2 linked regions of the Astyanax mexicanus genome follow. The protein of the gene in region 2 interacts with the protein of the main gene of each other region in a pairwise test. Links are inferred from orthologs where the notes say so. Each region holds a gene or a part of one and is shown on either strand. Other genes may lie near its edges.

Region 1 (8,445 bases), on a different chromosome or scaffold from region 2:
ATAATAAAATGATTAACTAATTAATTAATTAACTAATGAAATAAAATAAACTAATATTTCAACACAAAATAGACATCCCATCCCATTTATAATGGGCTCTCCTTTTAATACTGTGTAAACTAAAATATTAAGGCAATGTGTGAATACTGTGAAAGGTCTAGTTTACAGATAGCTTAACTCAACAAGCATTTAAATATATGCTTGAAACTTATATTTACAGGCGGAACTAAAAAAAAAAAAAAAAAGAATCAACACCAAACTTCTCATAATTAAAACGGTATATCTCTTGAAAAGGATGTAATTGCAGTATTATTATTTGCTGTAGTAGCTGTAGTTATAATATATCAGTGACAAATTTGTATTAGAAAAATAACATTATTATATTATTATTATTATTATTATTATTAGTATAAATATTTGACCTGTATCAATATATGAACTGTATCATGTTCATCCTTAAATATACTCAGCATTATAAAACAGCACAGCAACTTTTATTCTAATAAAGGGAACTAATATGACAGAAATAGCAGAACATGCTTCCTGTGTGATTCCATGCAAATCTAATGTGCCACAACCACAACTAGGACATATGCTAAGTCCGATATTACAGGCGCAATAAAACCAGCCCTGGTTTCACGTGAACTGGCACCGTTTTCAAATCACACTGCCTGCATCACATTCTGTATAACACAGCCCATCATAGCATGAATACTCAAATTTAGATACGTACCTTCCGGGCGATGGGTTCCTGGCCATCGGTCAGACCGTACCAGCTCACTAGCTTATTCCAGCCCTCAGTGGGCACGAGGATGTAGTCCAACTCGTCGATAAGATGCTCTTTAATGGCAAGTACATCGCCATCTAAGAACAAAATGCAAAGATAAGCACTGATCAATTGTGTGGCTAAGAGCTCATGTTTTATAGTATATGGACGATGTTTCCTAAAACACCACCATCATTCTGGATCAATAAATAATAAAGCTTATTTATGATCGCTCATTTTTAAGGTAACACTTTCAACAAAAAAAAAATTGGTTTACTAATATGAAACAGTTAATAACCTTTAAGGAGACCCGAGTTGTCCACCGGTCCGGGGTAGACATTCTGATCCCCCATCTGATACTTGTCCCAGCTGTCAAAGCCCACATATTTCTTCCACTGCTTGAACCAGTGACTGTCTATTAAGTACCTGAGATAAACCAGGGATAGGAATGGTTACAATTAGGTAAACCAATTATAGCATTTGCAATCATGTTCACACACCAGACAGATAGACAGTTAACTAAATAGCTATGCAGACAGACAGTCAGTTGTACAAATAGAAAAACAGCTAGAGAGGGAGCAAGATCTGTATTTGGCTAGAAGGCTAGATCCAGATTTATCTAGACAGACACTTATATGGAGACATATACAGCTCTGGAAATAATTATAAGACCACTTCAGTTTCTGAATCAGTTTCTCTGAGTTTGCTATTTATAGGTTAATGTTTGAGTAAAATGAACATTGTTGTTTCATTCTATAAACTACGAACAATATTTCTCCCAAATTCCAAATAAAAATATTGTCATTCAGAGCATTTATTTGCAGAAAATGAGAAAGATGCCGAACTTTCAGACCTCACATCATGCAAATAACACAAATATTTATATTCCTAGAGTTTTTTTATGCATATTTGCTTGTTCTCCTCCACCAGTCTTACACATTGCTTTTGGATAACTTTAAGTGTCTCTTATTTTTTTTCCAGCGCTTTATAGCTAAGTAGTCCAATAACTAGATAAAGACCTAGCATCTAAGTAGATAAACAGCAAAACAGACCTAGATAGCTGAGTATATAGACAACTAGACAACAAACAATGCAGGCAGGTAGATAGACAGCTGGACAAAAAGCTATATATATATATATATATATATATATATATATATATATAGGTAGACAGCAAAATCTAGATATCGTGATACAGAGATAGATAAATAAGCACTGCATAAAAAAGTAAATACACACCCAGACAAAGAGCTAGACAGCTAGATGGAGGGCTAGAGAGCTAGGCAGATACACAATCTGAGCATGGGATTCCAGAGCCAATCAGCCTAAACGCATTTCAAATGCTTAGCTGCAGAGGAAATTCAGCAGACACAATTTATCAATTTGACGTCAAAAAGACGTTGGACTCTAACATCAGGCTTCAAAGACTTCAAAAACCAAACATTTTACTGGTTAGAAATCAAATTTACATATCTGTCAAAAACCTACATTGGATTGACATAAAGCTTCAACATCAGACAGATGTTTTGTTCAAAACGAAAATCTGTTTAATGATTAAATTCTGGTTGGAAATCACATATCCAACAAAAACATCTTAACAGTAGTGGCTGAATTCTGATTACTGATCACCACTGCAATGTCTTTCCACCTTTCCACCTTAGTATTTCACTTTTTGTGGATATTAACATTATGAGTGTTATATTTTTTTGTTTTTTGTTGTTTCTTTGTCTAAATCCTAAATATAGGTATGTTGTGTCAATTTGATAGACAGCAGGTTTACATTACGTCCCAACATTAGACAGACGTTAAATTAAGTTTCCATACCAGCTGGCCCCAAATTACACGTTTTTTTTGCTTTAATGACTTAAATCTGAATGTTGGTATGATATGTCAATATGATGTTGGTACCTGACGTTTTAAAGACGTTGGACTTTGGTCAAAAACCAATGATAGGCAAATGCTGAATAACATCAACGTAAATCTATCTTAGAACCTCACGTTTTGTAGACAGTACCATGATTACATGTTGTTCATGTGTTACAACAAAATGGTGGTATGTTATGTTGACGTGACATTGGCATGTGAAGTTTGGAAGACGTTTAATTTAGGTAACTTTGACAAGTACTTAACACCACAACACCAATACATCCTCTAGGTTAATATACTCTAGCAATGTCAAATGACTTTGGCATTAGACGTTGCCCTGCATTTTGGTCGCCCGACGTCTCGACCTACATTTAACCAGATAGCTAACACAACGTCTTCAGATGTTTGGGGGCAGCTGGGAAGCTAAATGACAGGTGCTCCTCGCGTCTCGTCTCGTCTCCGCCCTGAATGGCCCCGTTAGCGAGTGCCAGCTAACTCCAGACCCACAGAGGAGCGCGTTGGGTCGGCCGGCTCTCAGCCCCCGGAACCGGGCAGGCTGTGGAGGTGCTGGGGGTCTGCGGTTTTGCTGAATAACCCTCACACAGCCCGCTGTCGGTCTCCGCTTTCCAGCTAACTGCTAACGGCTAACGGTGACTAGCTGTCAACACGGCTCCTCCGCGCTGCTGCCCGTTCCGCTCAGCGGCGGCTAGGCGCGGCAGCGGCAGGGCCGGAGGCGCGGAAGGTCGGCGGTCAGCTCTCACCACGTCTCCCCTCTCCGGAGCTGCGTCTTGAGCAGCGCTGTGATCTCTCCTCTCTGAGTGTCCAGATCAGCCGCTCCTCCCTCAGCCATCTTTCCTTGGGCATCGCCCGCTGCATTGTGGGATAGTAAAGTGGGGGGAGCGACTGTGACGCCAGGCTGAGGTTTAGCCAATCAGAGGTTAGCGTAGGTTTTGACGAACAGGAGAGTTCAGCCAATCAAAGGATTAAGACATGCAGAGACGACTGACCTATGGAAATGTTGATCCAATCATTTGCGTGAATTCACACGGGTTTAGCCAATCAGCGGATTCAGGAATGAGAGACTGATGGAAATGTTGAACCAATCATCTGCGTGTATTCTTCTTGACAGACAGATGCGTTTGACACAAGCAGGCTCTGGACACAAGATATGAATTTAGCCAATCAGAGGCTTGAGCAGTAACGGACTGATGGAAATGGTTAACCAATTGGTTGCGTTTAAATAAAAAACTTTTATTTTTATGACGGTAATGTAAATTTGTAAATTAAATGTAGTTATTTATTAATTCATTCATACCCCTGTATTTATTTGTTTGCTTATTTATGTTTGTTCTTTTTTATTTGCTTCTTTGTTTAATTATTTGTTGTTTGTTTGACAGAGACAGGGTTCACTAATTATCAAAAATCTGACAAATAAAAGATGTAACCAATCACCTGCGTGCATCCTTCTAGAGAGACATACATTTAGCCAATCAGTGGCTTAAACTGCCTGGCCAGCACAGAGCTTACAACAGCAAACCACAGGCACTAAACCCTAAACCATATTATTTCCATTAATAGCTGACATGTGTTCCCTTTGAAGTTCCTTTGCTTCTGCAGCGCCCTCTCAGGTTCAACTGAGCTAAAGGTGAGGATGATGTGCCTGTGCACTTTGGTATGCAGACACATCACAATATACAATCAGTTAATCAATAATACAGCCCCCTCCTGCTGACGTCCAATCATCTGCGTCTCACTGCTATCAGAGCTACTTTGCTCAGCCCAATCAGCTCTCCCTTCTGCCCTAACCTAAACCCATACATCACCCAGTGCCCCTCCGAAACTCAGTGGGACACAAGGACGAGGCTCCGTAAGGCGTGGTGAGGTTTCAAAACCCCCACATCTGACAGGTGGCAGGTCCAGACAACTGCTGTCACTCTGAACTGCGGCATGTGACCTGATCTCTTGAAGATTCTCCTTATGAAGATAAATGGGAACATGAGTAGTCTTCTCACAACAGACACTGCATTCAGTTTATAGAACTGCATCTTCGTTCATGCCACAGAAACTCACCTTTGACTATTACAGGTAGACAGAACTTACCTGCACAGGGTAAATCCTGGGGTAAAATGTTAGAGGTATATGGCACTTCAAATAGAGATTTTCAGAGGCACACATTAAAAAAGGTGGCAGAGAATTACTGGCAAGATGGCAGCACAAACGAACAAAGAAACCCACAAAGTATTTTTCTTGGTAAAAAATTTACAATAACTACTAGTTATATTAACATAGTTTAATGTTAAAGTTTCAATACTTTGTAGCTATATTCTTCATAAAAAAAATAAAAAAAACAAATAAAAAAAACAATAAGCAGTTTGTCTTAGTTTCTAGCTACCTTTCCCGTAACACCTTAAATGGTGCAACAGACTGCAGTGGCTGCAGCATTTAAGGTGGATCGGAAAAACGAAATAAAAGCTAAAAAAATATAATTTCAGCTTCCCATCACAGAGGAATTGGGCAATGGGCAATAACAATTAGTTGTTGCCCCACCTGCCCCCTTCCTGAAGACCTACAATGACCTAAAATTACCTAGTTAACCTTGTTCTAAAGGGATGGGTTACACTTAAAATCAATGGGTAGGGGTACAAAAGAGAAATGGGACTGAGCCAAATTTAAAAGCTTCTGTGCTTGGCAAGTTAAAAAAAAACTGTTCGGAATTTGTAAAACCACACTAAATTATTATTTCCTGTAGGTTTATGAATATTTAGGGTTCAAGCACCGAAGGTGCGTAGAACCCTATTGTTTTTGCTAAGATTTTTCTTCTTATTATTATTAGGGTTCAAGCACCGAAGGTGCGTAGAACCCTATTGTTTTTGCTAAGATTTTTCTTATTATTATTATTATTATTCTTTTTCTCCTGTAAAAACAGTTGTGCAGCCTAAACCGTAAGTCATAGAGAAATGAAACTTTGTAGGTAGATGTAGGATCAGTGCATCTCGGTGGACAACAAAAATGGCACCGATTGGTCAAGTGGTGGCGCTATAAACAAGGAAATTCATTTTTCACAATTTTCTCAATAACTCAAAAACCATAAGACCTACATTCAAAATTCTTTTTTTGATGGATTCCTTGGGTCAATACCAACAACTTTCCAATTTGGACCATGCACTTCCGTCTATATAGATTTTGTGCTAATTTGCATAATATGCAAAACCTACTTTTGCAAACTAGTCCTAGGAATTTTGACCAATCCTGGCATGTTTGGTATCAAAACACTCGTGAGAGCATGCGCTTCAATATTCATTAAGAAAAAGTTGAAATATGTAAACAATATGGCCGCCATATGCAAATTAGTCCTTCCGGATATATGCCCCATTCACTTCAAGAGGTAAATTTGGAGCACTGTTTCTCAGCAACCGTGCAACCTAGCAAGTTGAAACTTTGCATGCAGAATCTATCATACAGCCTCTAAAGGATGTTCAAAGGGCAACTTAATCAATCAACATGGCTGAACACCATCAGCCAATCAGCATTCAGCAGAAATTTTGGCAGGCTGAATGTTGCCCAATCTGGATGATATTTGGCAGTTATGTTCAGGTGGAGACACTGTAGTGACCTGCAAAGTGCTGAAACAATCCGCCCACTGGGGGGCGCTGTTCCAAAAAAACGAGTATATGTCAATCATGCTGTACTATTTTGACATCTAATTGTTTTTGCCATATTTAGTACAGTGGCTCTGACAAATTTCTCAATACAACTATGTTTAAAAAGTGCTTTGTTCATTCATAATTGCTAATTGTTTGAAAATAGCTATATTGAAACTACTCTCTGGATATTTGGCCTATCACCTCCATTTCAGTCTTGCTGCACACTGTAGAGTCTCTAGGTAAATGTTCATTAAAAACATTTGTGAAAATTTCACATACAATACTCTCCAGGCATCAAGCAATCTGTGCGTCCTTGGAATTTCTAACCTAAATTGCTGTAACTCTGCAGTATTTGCTGTAATCTCACAATGTTAAAGACCTCTGTACAATATCACTCTGATGAAGCGCCATTTAATACAGAACTAGATTAAGAATAACTTGACATTACATGTCATATCAGAACATTCACTCCTTTGTGCCTCTTCTCAACATTAATAACAGGTGAAAGACTTTTGATCATTTTAAATGTGACAGAATGTCTCCAATTGTGTTAGACCTTCTTACACATCACCATCCTATGCTCTAGTAGGCACCATTGTGCTAGTTGGTGCTTGAACCCGATGATTGCCGCTTGCGGCTATATTTATTATTATTCTTTTTCTCCTGAAAAAACAGTTGTGCAGCCTAAACCGTAAGTCATAGAGAAATGAAACTTGGTAGGTAGATGTAGGATCAGTGCATCTCGGTGCACAACAAAAATGGCACTGATTGGTCAAGTGGTGGCGCTATAAACAAGGAAATTCATTTTTCACAATTTTCTCAATAACTCAAAAACCATAAGACCTACATTCAAAATTATTTTTTGCTGGATTCCTTGGGTCAATACCAACAACTTTCCAATTTGGACCATGCACTTCCGTCTATATAGATTTTTTGCTAATTTGCATAATATGCAAAACCTACTTTTGCAAACTAGTCCTAGGAATTTTGACCAATCCTGGCATGTTTGGTATCAAAACACTCGTGAGAGCATGCGCTTCAATATTCATTAAGAAAAAGTTGAAATATGTAAACAATATGGCCGCCATATGCAAATTAGTCCTTCCGGATATATGCCCCATTCACTTCAAGAGGTAAATTTGGAGCACTGTTTCTCAGCAACCGTGCAACCTAGCAAGTTGAAACTTTGCATGCAGAATCTATCATACAGCCTCTAAAGGATGTTCAAAGGGCAACTTAATCAATCAACATGGCTGAACACCATCAGCCAATCAGCATTCAGCAGACATTTTGGCAGGCTGAATGTTGCCCAATCTGGATGATATTTGGCAGTTATGTTCAGGTGGAGACACTGTAGTGACCTGCAAAGTGCTGAAACAATCCGCCCACTGGGGGGCGCTGTTCCAAAAAAACGAGTATATGTCAATCATGCTGTACTATTTTGACATCTAATTGTTTTTGCCATATTTAGTACAGTGGCTCTGACAAATTTCTCAATACAACTATGTTTAAAAAGTGCTTTGTTCATTCATAATTGCTAATTGTTTGAAAATAGCTATATTGAAACTACTCTCTGGATATTTGGCCTATCACCTCCATTTCAGTCTTGCTGCACACTGTAGAGTCTCTAGGTAAATGTTCATTAAAAACATTTGTGAAAATTTCACATACAATACTCTCCAGGCATCAAGCAATCTGTGCGTCCTTGGAATTTCTAACCTAAATTGCTGTAACTCTGCAGTATTTGCTGTAATCTCACAATGTTAAAGACCTCTGTACAATATCACTCTGATGAAGCGCCATTTAATACAGAACTAGATTAAGAATAACTTGACATTACATGTCATATCAGAACATTCACTCCTTTGTGCCTCTGCTCAACATTAATAACAGGTGAAAGACTTTTGATCATTTCTAAATGTGACAGAATGTCTCCAATTGTGTTAGACCTTCTTACACATCACCATCCTATGCTCTAGTAGGCACCATTGTGCTAGTTGGTGCTTGATGAAGCGCCATTTAATTCAGAACTAGATTTATAATAACTTCGTAATTACATGTCATATCAGAACATTCACTCCTTTGTGTTAATTTAAACTTGTTTGGTCAAACATTTCAGCTTGTTCTGCAAAGGTTCAAAGGTCAATCTGAATACCACTTTGTGAACAT
Region 2 (8,015 bases):
TACTTTCTGCTCTGAAAAAAAAAAAAAAAACAGCTAAAAAAAAAAAAACTACTATTGCTCACCGTCTTCACCCAGCTGTTCTTTGATCTTGCTCAAGTCTGAGCCTCCGACCACCCCGACTCGTACTCTCTGTCTCAGTTTGGTTAAGAACTGCTGCATCTGTGGAGTCACTTTCTAAAACAGAGGGGAAAAAATAAAATGCAACAATGAATTCTATGTGAAGAACTTTAATCACTTAATAATAGGTAACAGTATTTTACATGTATAAGACTTCAGACTACACAGAATACATTTTCAGCATAATTGCAATTGCTTGGCTGCACTGAAAATGAGGATCACCCTTAAACCACAGAAAGATTTATTAATTGATTTAAAGTGAAAGTTAACATTTCTCTATATTTGAAATAATGTGTTCATTCTGTGTACATCTTGAACAAAATGTTAAATATAGTTTACATGAAATTTAAACAACTATACTGCTAACACAAAAGGCATGCTTTATTGATATTGACTGAATAACAAGTTACACTGCTTCCAGCTCCTGTCAGCAGACACGCCCACATTCCAGACTGACAGCTGTAGGGAGTCTGACCAGTGCGAAAGGTGGATCACTGGGATACTTTTACTAACCAGTTAAACAAGCCAGACCACAATCCCAGTCCTCAATCTGGAACAGCAGGTCTCATGTGAATGCACCCAGTTCACTTAACAATGAATATATATATATGAATAATGATATAAACTCATCCTAAACCAATGCAGTAAATCTCTTTTCACAGAACTGATACTATAATCGGGGTTTTAACTGATTTAACTGAGAGATTTAACTGAGAGAGTACAATCATCCGATATTTTATGTTAGATATTAAATGAGCTTCAGAGAACTGAAACATGTGTTACTGTGATTATGTTGCTTGGGGTACAGTTCAGAACAGCTTGAGAAGGTTCTCAGGCCAGGTCCCCCCACAGCTAGCTGATGAAGATGAGGGTGATGATGGAGTGGAGGTGGGTGCAAGGTCAAAAGTCACAAAGTGAGGAGCACCTCGGAGGTAGGACTAGGGGGAGGAGCTCAGGAAATTGAGGCGTGGTCCATATCCCAAAATGTTGTTAATTCTTAACAACACTAATACTTGAGTGCCACTTCTGATGGCATCAGCAGTTACAGCAGCTTGTGTATAAATCACTGTGTCTCCAGGTTAAACTATTTTTCTGCTGGTTTTCTTGGTTGACTAAACAGATCACAAAGGTCATGACTCTCACCATCCTCCTAAATATCTCAGCTGACTGACTGCATCTGGTGTCAATGATTAATCATGTTCTTTTCCCAAACGCAGGTTTAGACAGAAACATGCTCTACTTGGTGCACTATGTAGTCAAGAGAGGGACAACTGAGACTCACTTTGGGCTGCGTTCAAAACCACATACTGCTACACTAGTTTAACAGCATTAGGGCCATTCCAGCGAATGGGTGCCATTCGCTTGTTGTTTAAAAACAAGTCCACTTATTCCTTATGTTTTCTCTCAAGAAAGTATTTATTTTAAAGAAATGTTTGACTGCATGTTCAAATAATAAAATAAATAATAACTCCTGTTAATGCACTCATTCCTGTTACTGGAACTCGCTCCTGTTAAAGTAACAGGAATGAGTTTTTAGCATAGAATTAGCAAAAACATGAAAAAGAGCTAAATGGCAGATAAGGGCACTGGGCACATTTAAGTACAATAAAATTAAATATACAGAAAAACAAATAATCTTAATTTTGGTCTTCCCATAGTCTTCAGAAGAACCAGCTGATGTCACTTCCTGTTGTAGATGTGACTTCCTGTTGTAGAATGTTCCTGATGTTTTAGATGATCAGGGTAATGTGGTACAGTAACAGGACTGAGTGAAACCCAGCGACACAAATAAAACGTGTATATTCAATATTGTGGATTTATTATATATTAAAAAAAAATAAAGTATAGATTGGATTTGGAGTCACACAACAATGCAAAAAAAAATACATCTCCGAAGGATTTTAATAATTATAGTTAGAAAGTGGGGACAGGTAACAAATGCTATTTTTTCAATATTCTAAGTAGTTTTTTGTTAATGTTTTTATTACATCTTACTTTGCAATTAGGTCAATGACTTGAACCGGTTGCTGACTGTGATCTTTCTCAGCTGCTTGTTGTCGCGAGCAGAAGTTTTTCGGACGCCGGAACAGTTGGTGCGCTTGCTGCAGTTTTTCTTGAGAGCTTTGCAGACGGAAGACTGGCTGATGCCGAGCTGCTCAGCAGTTTTAGTTTGGGTCAAGCCTTGTTGGCGAAGGGCTTGAATTTGAGCCACTATTCCGGTTGAGAGGTCGCGCTGCTTACCCATGATTGATTTTACAACTTAGAAATTCTACTCAACCCTGACTTTATACTGCACAGTGAACACTCTTCGGAGAAAACAAAAATTCGAGCATTTATTCTAATTCAATGAAACGCTTTCTCCATTATTCTAATTCAATAAAACAACAGTGTCACAGTTAAATGGCCTAAATGGGCCTTTTGGAAAGCTCAGCTGAGCAAATTGTTTTCCAGGTAACGAGTTCTGTGATTAGTCTAACGAGTAGGACAGGTGCGGTGAACACCTGATTTGCTTTCTGCACAAAAAATGCATTCAAAGAATTTCATGATTGCACTATTTCAAATTATTCTAATTCGTTGACCAGCACCTGTATTTTGTTATTCTGTGTGCACATTTATAAATGTAGTTTACTGGGGACAGAAATGGCACCCATTTGGTGGAATGGCTCATTACAGTCTATTTACAGTCTATTTTAGTCTGAAGACCAGCTTCTGCTGGTAGCTGGTTTTGGAAGGTCTAAGTTGGTCTTTGATTGATAAGGTTTTTGAACTGCTGGTCAGTCTGGTGAAAACACCCACTATAATTGGGAAGCTAGCTGGTTAACTAGCTTTTGGTCAGTATAGTAGTTACATGTTGCATTTGATCACACTTATTTGATAATGCTGGTTTACCAAGTGGTCTTAGTTGGCCATGCTGGTCATGGTGGTTGTATACTTTGGAAAGGCTGATCATAGACCAGTTAAATCATCATATCCCATCCTAGTCTTATTCTAAAAGGTTGAATCAGCTCAATCAGCTTGAGATCTGAGCCTGCTGTTTGTTTTCAGCAGGGAAGTGCACTATATAGTGTGCACACATGGTGACAGTTGAGACTCACCCATCTGTATTCAAAACCTGATACTAAGTTACTACAGTAGCTAAAGCATTCATATACACTAGAGGTGGGTAACCCAGGTCCAGAACATAAAAATCCAATCCATGGTTTTGTACCAACTGTGTGGGCAGCTCTGATGATTAAGCTCAGCTTCAGCTGAGCAGCACGGGCAGTTGGTACAAAACCCTGGGTTGGATTTTTACTCTCTGGAGCTGGGTTACCCACCGCCAATACAGCTCCTCCGCAGATGAACACACTACAGTTAAAGTGAGTGATCTTACCTGCCGAGCTGCTGTCAGGGTCCCGTCCACGTCGAACAGACAGAGGGTGGAGGTGTCTGTTTGCGGGGGGCTCATCTTTAGATGATAAAAGGATCAGTGATACTCAGAGAGAAGTGAAAGAAGTGAGAGAACAGACAGAACAGCAGAACTCAGCAGAGCAGGAAGCAGACACGTCCTCCACATCCGCGTCACCCACTACTACAGTTCGGCCGCGGAGGAAAGGGAGGGGCCTATTTTTAGTTTTTTTATATATATATTTTTACATATTTATTTATACATTACAAATGTTACAGAATCATGTTGGTGCTTAAAAACATTACAAAAATATAATAATACAGTAATGTACAAATCATAAACTAGATACCTTTCAAGCTCACAGGGGGCGGGGCCTGAGGAATGTATGAATGGGATTTCCCTTAACGCCAATCAAGGAGCCCGTTTATGAATAAAATCCCGCCCTTCAACAAAAAAGAGCCATACAGTTTACTAAGTACTAGACACAAACCTCATAAGTAATAATAATATTAATACTGAAAAAAAAGGGAGATTATGAAAAAATAATCATTATTATAAAAAAGATAAGAAAAGAATTAAAACAGATTTAAGATTAATCAAGTTATAAAAGCACTTAAATGTAGCATGTAGCAATTTTTTACAAAGATGTTTACATTTTTTTCTCAGTCCTTTTACCAAAATTCATGTAACATTTAAAAAGCATGTCCACTAATTCCTTTCATTTTCTTTTAAGAAAGTGTTTATTCTAAAGTAATTGTTGACTGCATGTTTAAATAATTAATATTGTTGACAAACAAATACTATATATGAACGCACATTCTATTTTTCTAAAATATGCAAAGTTAATTTATTTTAGCAAGAAGACCCAACCCTGAAACTGATCAAATTTATTATCATCGCAATTTATTAACCAAACAGAATTGGACAGGGTGTTTAACATTAACCAATATTTACACTAATAAATCACTAAACGAGAGGACTCTACTCACTCCTGTTACTGGCGCTCACTCTTGTTGCTGGCGCTCACTCTTGTTGCTGGCGCTCACTCCTGTTATTGTCACTCACTCCTGTTATTGTCACTCACTAAGGGTTCTGTATTGTATGCTCAATGTTGTCTGGTTCTGTGTTCTGCGTTCACATTTATGTAAAGCTGCTCTGTGACATCAGTTCTAAAAAGCGCTTTATAAATCAATTTGATTTGATCGAAATGCTCCAGAATCTAGTAGAAAGTCTTATATGAACAGCAGAGACAGTTACTCCTAAAGAAGCAGGATAAACTATTTTACGCTTAAATTAAATGAGGCGGTGTCCCATTATTTTTGTCCTCAGAGTGAACGCCGCGTCCCGCTCGTTAGGTGGCGGACTCGGCCCGCTGTAGGGGATTATCCGCTCCGGCTGAGCATAGAGGAAGAGCAGCAGCAGCTCGGAGCTGGAAAGGAGGGAGATTCAGATTCAGAGCTGAGCTTCAGACTTCAGGCGAGCTTATCTTTTAAAGATTTAAACTTTACACGGAGAAAAGCTGGAAAATGCACCGTGTGCGATTCGGGTCGTTTTTGACCTGTCTCTGCTTCTACCAGCTGATAGAAACGATGTGGAGTCTGCTGGCTAATTTGTTGTGGCTATAAAACATGTGTATTGGTGTTGGAATTATCCGGTCCACCTTAAATATTTTATCAGTTTGGTTCAGATATATGATAGTTCACTTATACGCACTGACGGGTCATTTAAGGTGGACTGGAACGTTACAGGAAAAATAACTAGCTAAAAGGCGAATATAGTTAGTTAACCTAGTTAGCTAACTAGTGTTTCTAATTCTGTTGCGTTTTGAATTCGCTAGCTAACTATTAAACTAGCGTAATTATTTATTAGCTAACGCGAAATGCCTTCAAGTATTTCAGTTTCTTTTCTGGAAACATTAGCTAGCTAACTAGCTAAGCTGTTTTCAAGATGAAGCAAGTCAGGCTTCAGTGCGCTAACTAACTAGCTAACATTGCGGTAAGTTAGCTAGCTAGCCTAGGTTAGCTAACTACAGCTCAAACTAAAAGTTTTTACCGCGTAAATTTAGTTAAAAGTTAGGGTTAAACCGCTGTTTTGCCTGAAGTAAGTAGTTTTAGCCATACAGCTAGAGTTAACTAGCTAAATAAACTAGGTAGGTTAGCTAGCTAATTAGTTACTCAGTTAGCAACTCCGTGTGAGGCCTGTGTAAGTAGCTTAACCCCTTAACAGGCCAAAATGTTTGTAAATTTTCTGCCTGATATTACGCACCTAAATCTTGAAGATTTATATTCAGGCATTACATAATAAGGTTTCATGTTTGATAATAAACGTTACTATAATTGCTAATTGTAGCTGTAATAGAAAGTATTTAAAAAAAGTAAATATGCAACTTTACAAATATAATGAATAACCATTATACATTTGGCACTTTGTCCTCCGAATCCTTGGTTTCGTTATGTTTGTCTAGTTTTTATGTCTGTTTTTAAACCTGCAGAATTTGGGTTGATTTCTGTTACTGATGTGGAAGTGTAGAGAAAAAAGGGCAGCTTCTCCAAATGTCCTGTAGGAGATTACAAAGCCCACACATTTTCAGAATGTAAATAACGTATTTTACTATTTGAAAAGGTGGGCCATTTGGGAAGCCCACCTGGGTCCCAGTAACACTTCAAACTCACCACGTAGCCCACATTCCACCCATATAAGCCCCACAGATGCATGCAGGCTGGGAAGCTACCAACAATTTCTTTTAAAGGCAAGACTGTGTCATTTACTGTGTGAGATAGGGGTTGCCTATATTGCAATAAAATATTATCACAGTGTTTGAGGGTATTTTTGCGATAACTATTGTGCTGCCTTGTGCCGATTGATCACCCTTTGGAGTAATAAGGAGAAAGAGCATCATCTACACACCCAGAGAGAGCAAGGCCAATAGGTAGCCGATGACAAGCTACATGAACAGGATTCGAACTGGCAATCTCCTGATCACAGTGGCAGCACCTTAGCCTGCTGGACCCCTCTGAGCCCAACATTTGAAATTAATTTTAAGAATATTCTACTGCAAAACAAAATATAAAAGTTTATGTAGTATGAATTAATTTCATAAATACAGTAGAAACTAAAAAAATATATAAACAGTCTATTTTGTAAACAGTAACGAATAATATGTGTAAAATAGTAATCTGGCAAAATTAAAAATATTTAAAAAAGTAATCGAACAACAATATTCAACAAAACTAATGTGTACAGCAAATAACACAGTAATAAATACAGAAAATAGATAAATAATAGAGGTGTGCCAAAAAATCGATTCACATAAGAATCTTGATTCTCATTTACTACGATTCAGAATCGATTTAAAATGTCCCAAAATCGATTCTGAGGGGCGGGTTTTAGACTGATTTTGGGCTGGGTATTTTTGTTGGACCTGGCAACCCTGGGGATAGCGCTTGTCCTTTCAAACGGAGATCTTCCAGACACACACAGAGCGTAGGTGTTTGAGAATCACCGGTAAGATGGCAGAACAAGCACTATATTACATTAGATTAACGTGTAGTTTCAATGTTTTATGGCAGAATGCTTCATAACAAGCATAAAAAAGATCGCTAGTAGTTAGTTTCAGTAACTGTTAGCTAGCTAACTAGCTAACTTTCCAGTTCCACCTTAAATAACGCTACAGGTGGCAGCGGGCTGCAGCATTTAAGGCGGAACGGAAAAATAACAATAAGCTAATCAGAGCTAATTTCAGCTCCTCATCACAGAGGAATTAAGGAATGGACCATATGAATTAATTTCTCCACCTCCTGCCCCCTTTCTGAAGAAATACAACGACCTTAAATTAACTAGTTAATCAGCAGCTGCTCCTGAACTTTAGCGCTCCACTGCTATCATCACATCAGCCCAGCAGCGTCACCTACACACCACCGCTAGTAGCCTGGTAATAAAGCAGTGTTATTTATTATTTATTTATTGTTCATTAACGTCATTGTGATATCCCAGTGATTTCTCTGTCACTGAGGACCCACATTCCTGCACATTTTATTGTTTTTGTAACACATTACCTGCTCCAGGACCAGTGTATATTATGGAGGGTTTTTTTTTTCAATAAGATTCATAAGCCAGAAGCAGAAATTTTTATAATTCAAATCGTTTTAAATCAAAAATCGATTTTGAATCGAATCGTGGCCCCCAAAATCGGAATCGAATCGAATCGTGAGATAGTAAACGATTCCCACCCCTAATAAATAAATACAAAATAGACTGGTTTCAATAAGTTTATTGTTTTATTGTTTTAGAAATGTCTGTGATAGTTTTGAACAATACAATATGGCACACCCTTCATGTGATTATTTGCCGATTTCTAAAATGTTACAAATGGTTGGATCAAATTGAGGCTCTGTGATCTAAACATTCCACTTTAAAGCCTCTTTAAAGTAAAGAGCACTATCAAATCAAATCAAATCAAATTTATTTTTATAGCGCTTTTTACAACAGGTGTTGGCACAAAGCAGCTTTA

What was found.
Region 1: the proteins of mad1l1 (region 2) and ubiquitin carboxyl-terminal hydrolase 15 interact in binary tests that used the Homo sapiens proteins (3 or more experiments, as listed by UniProt). The two-hybrid records come from large-scale screens. The link is inferred for Astyanax mexicanus from reciprocal best matches to the Homo sapiens genes MAD1L1 and USP15.

What each region holds. Positions count from the first base shown.
Region 1 is NC_064409.1:16,810,534-16,818,978, reverse strand, and holds the start of ubiquitin carboxyl-terminal hydrolase 15, read right to left. Parts: upstream 3,523-8,445; 5' UTR 3,483-3,522; coding exon 3,394-3,482; intron 1,193-3,393; coding exon 1,065-1,192; intron 865-1,064; coding exon 734-864; intron 1-733. UniProt on the Homo sapiens protein: Hydrolase that removes conjugated ubiquitin from target proteins and regulates various pathways such as the TGF-beta receptor signaling, NF-kappa-B and RNF41/NRDP1-PRKN pathways.
Region 2 is NC_064428.1:4,219,162-4,227,176, forward strand, and holds the start of mad1l1 (mitotic spindle assembly checkpoint protein MAD1), read left to right. Parts: upstream 1-4,833; 5' UTR 4,834-4,981; intron 4,982-8,015. Other genes in the region: pmm2 (phosphomannomutase 2), read right to left, coding at 63-174, 3,491-3,565. UniProt on the Homo sapiens protein: Component of the spindle-assembly checkpoint that prevents the onset of anaphase until all chromosomes are properly aligned at the metaphase plate.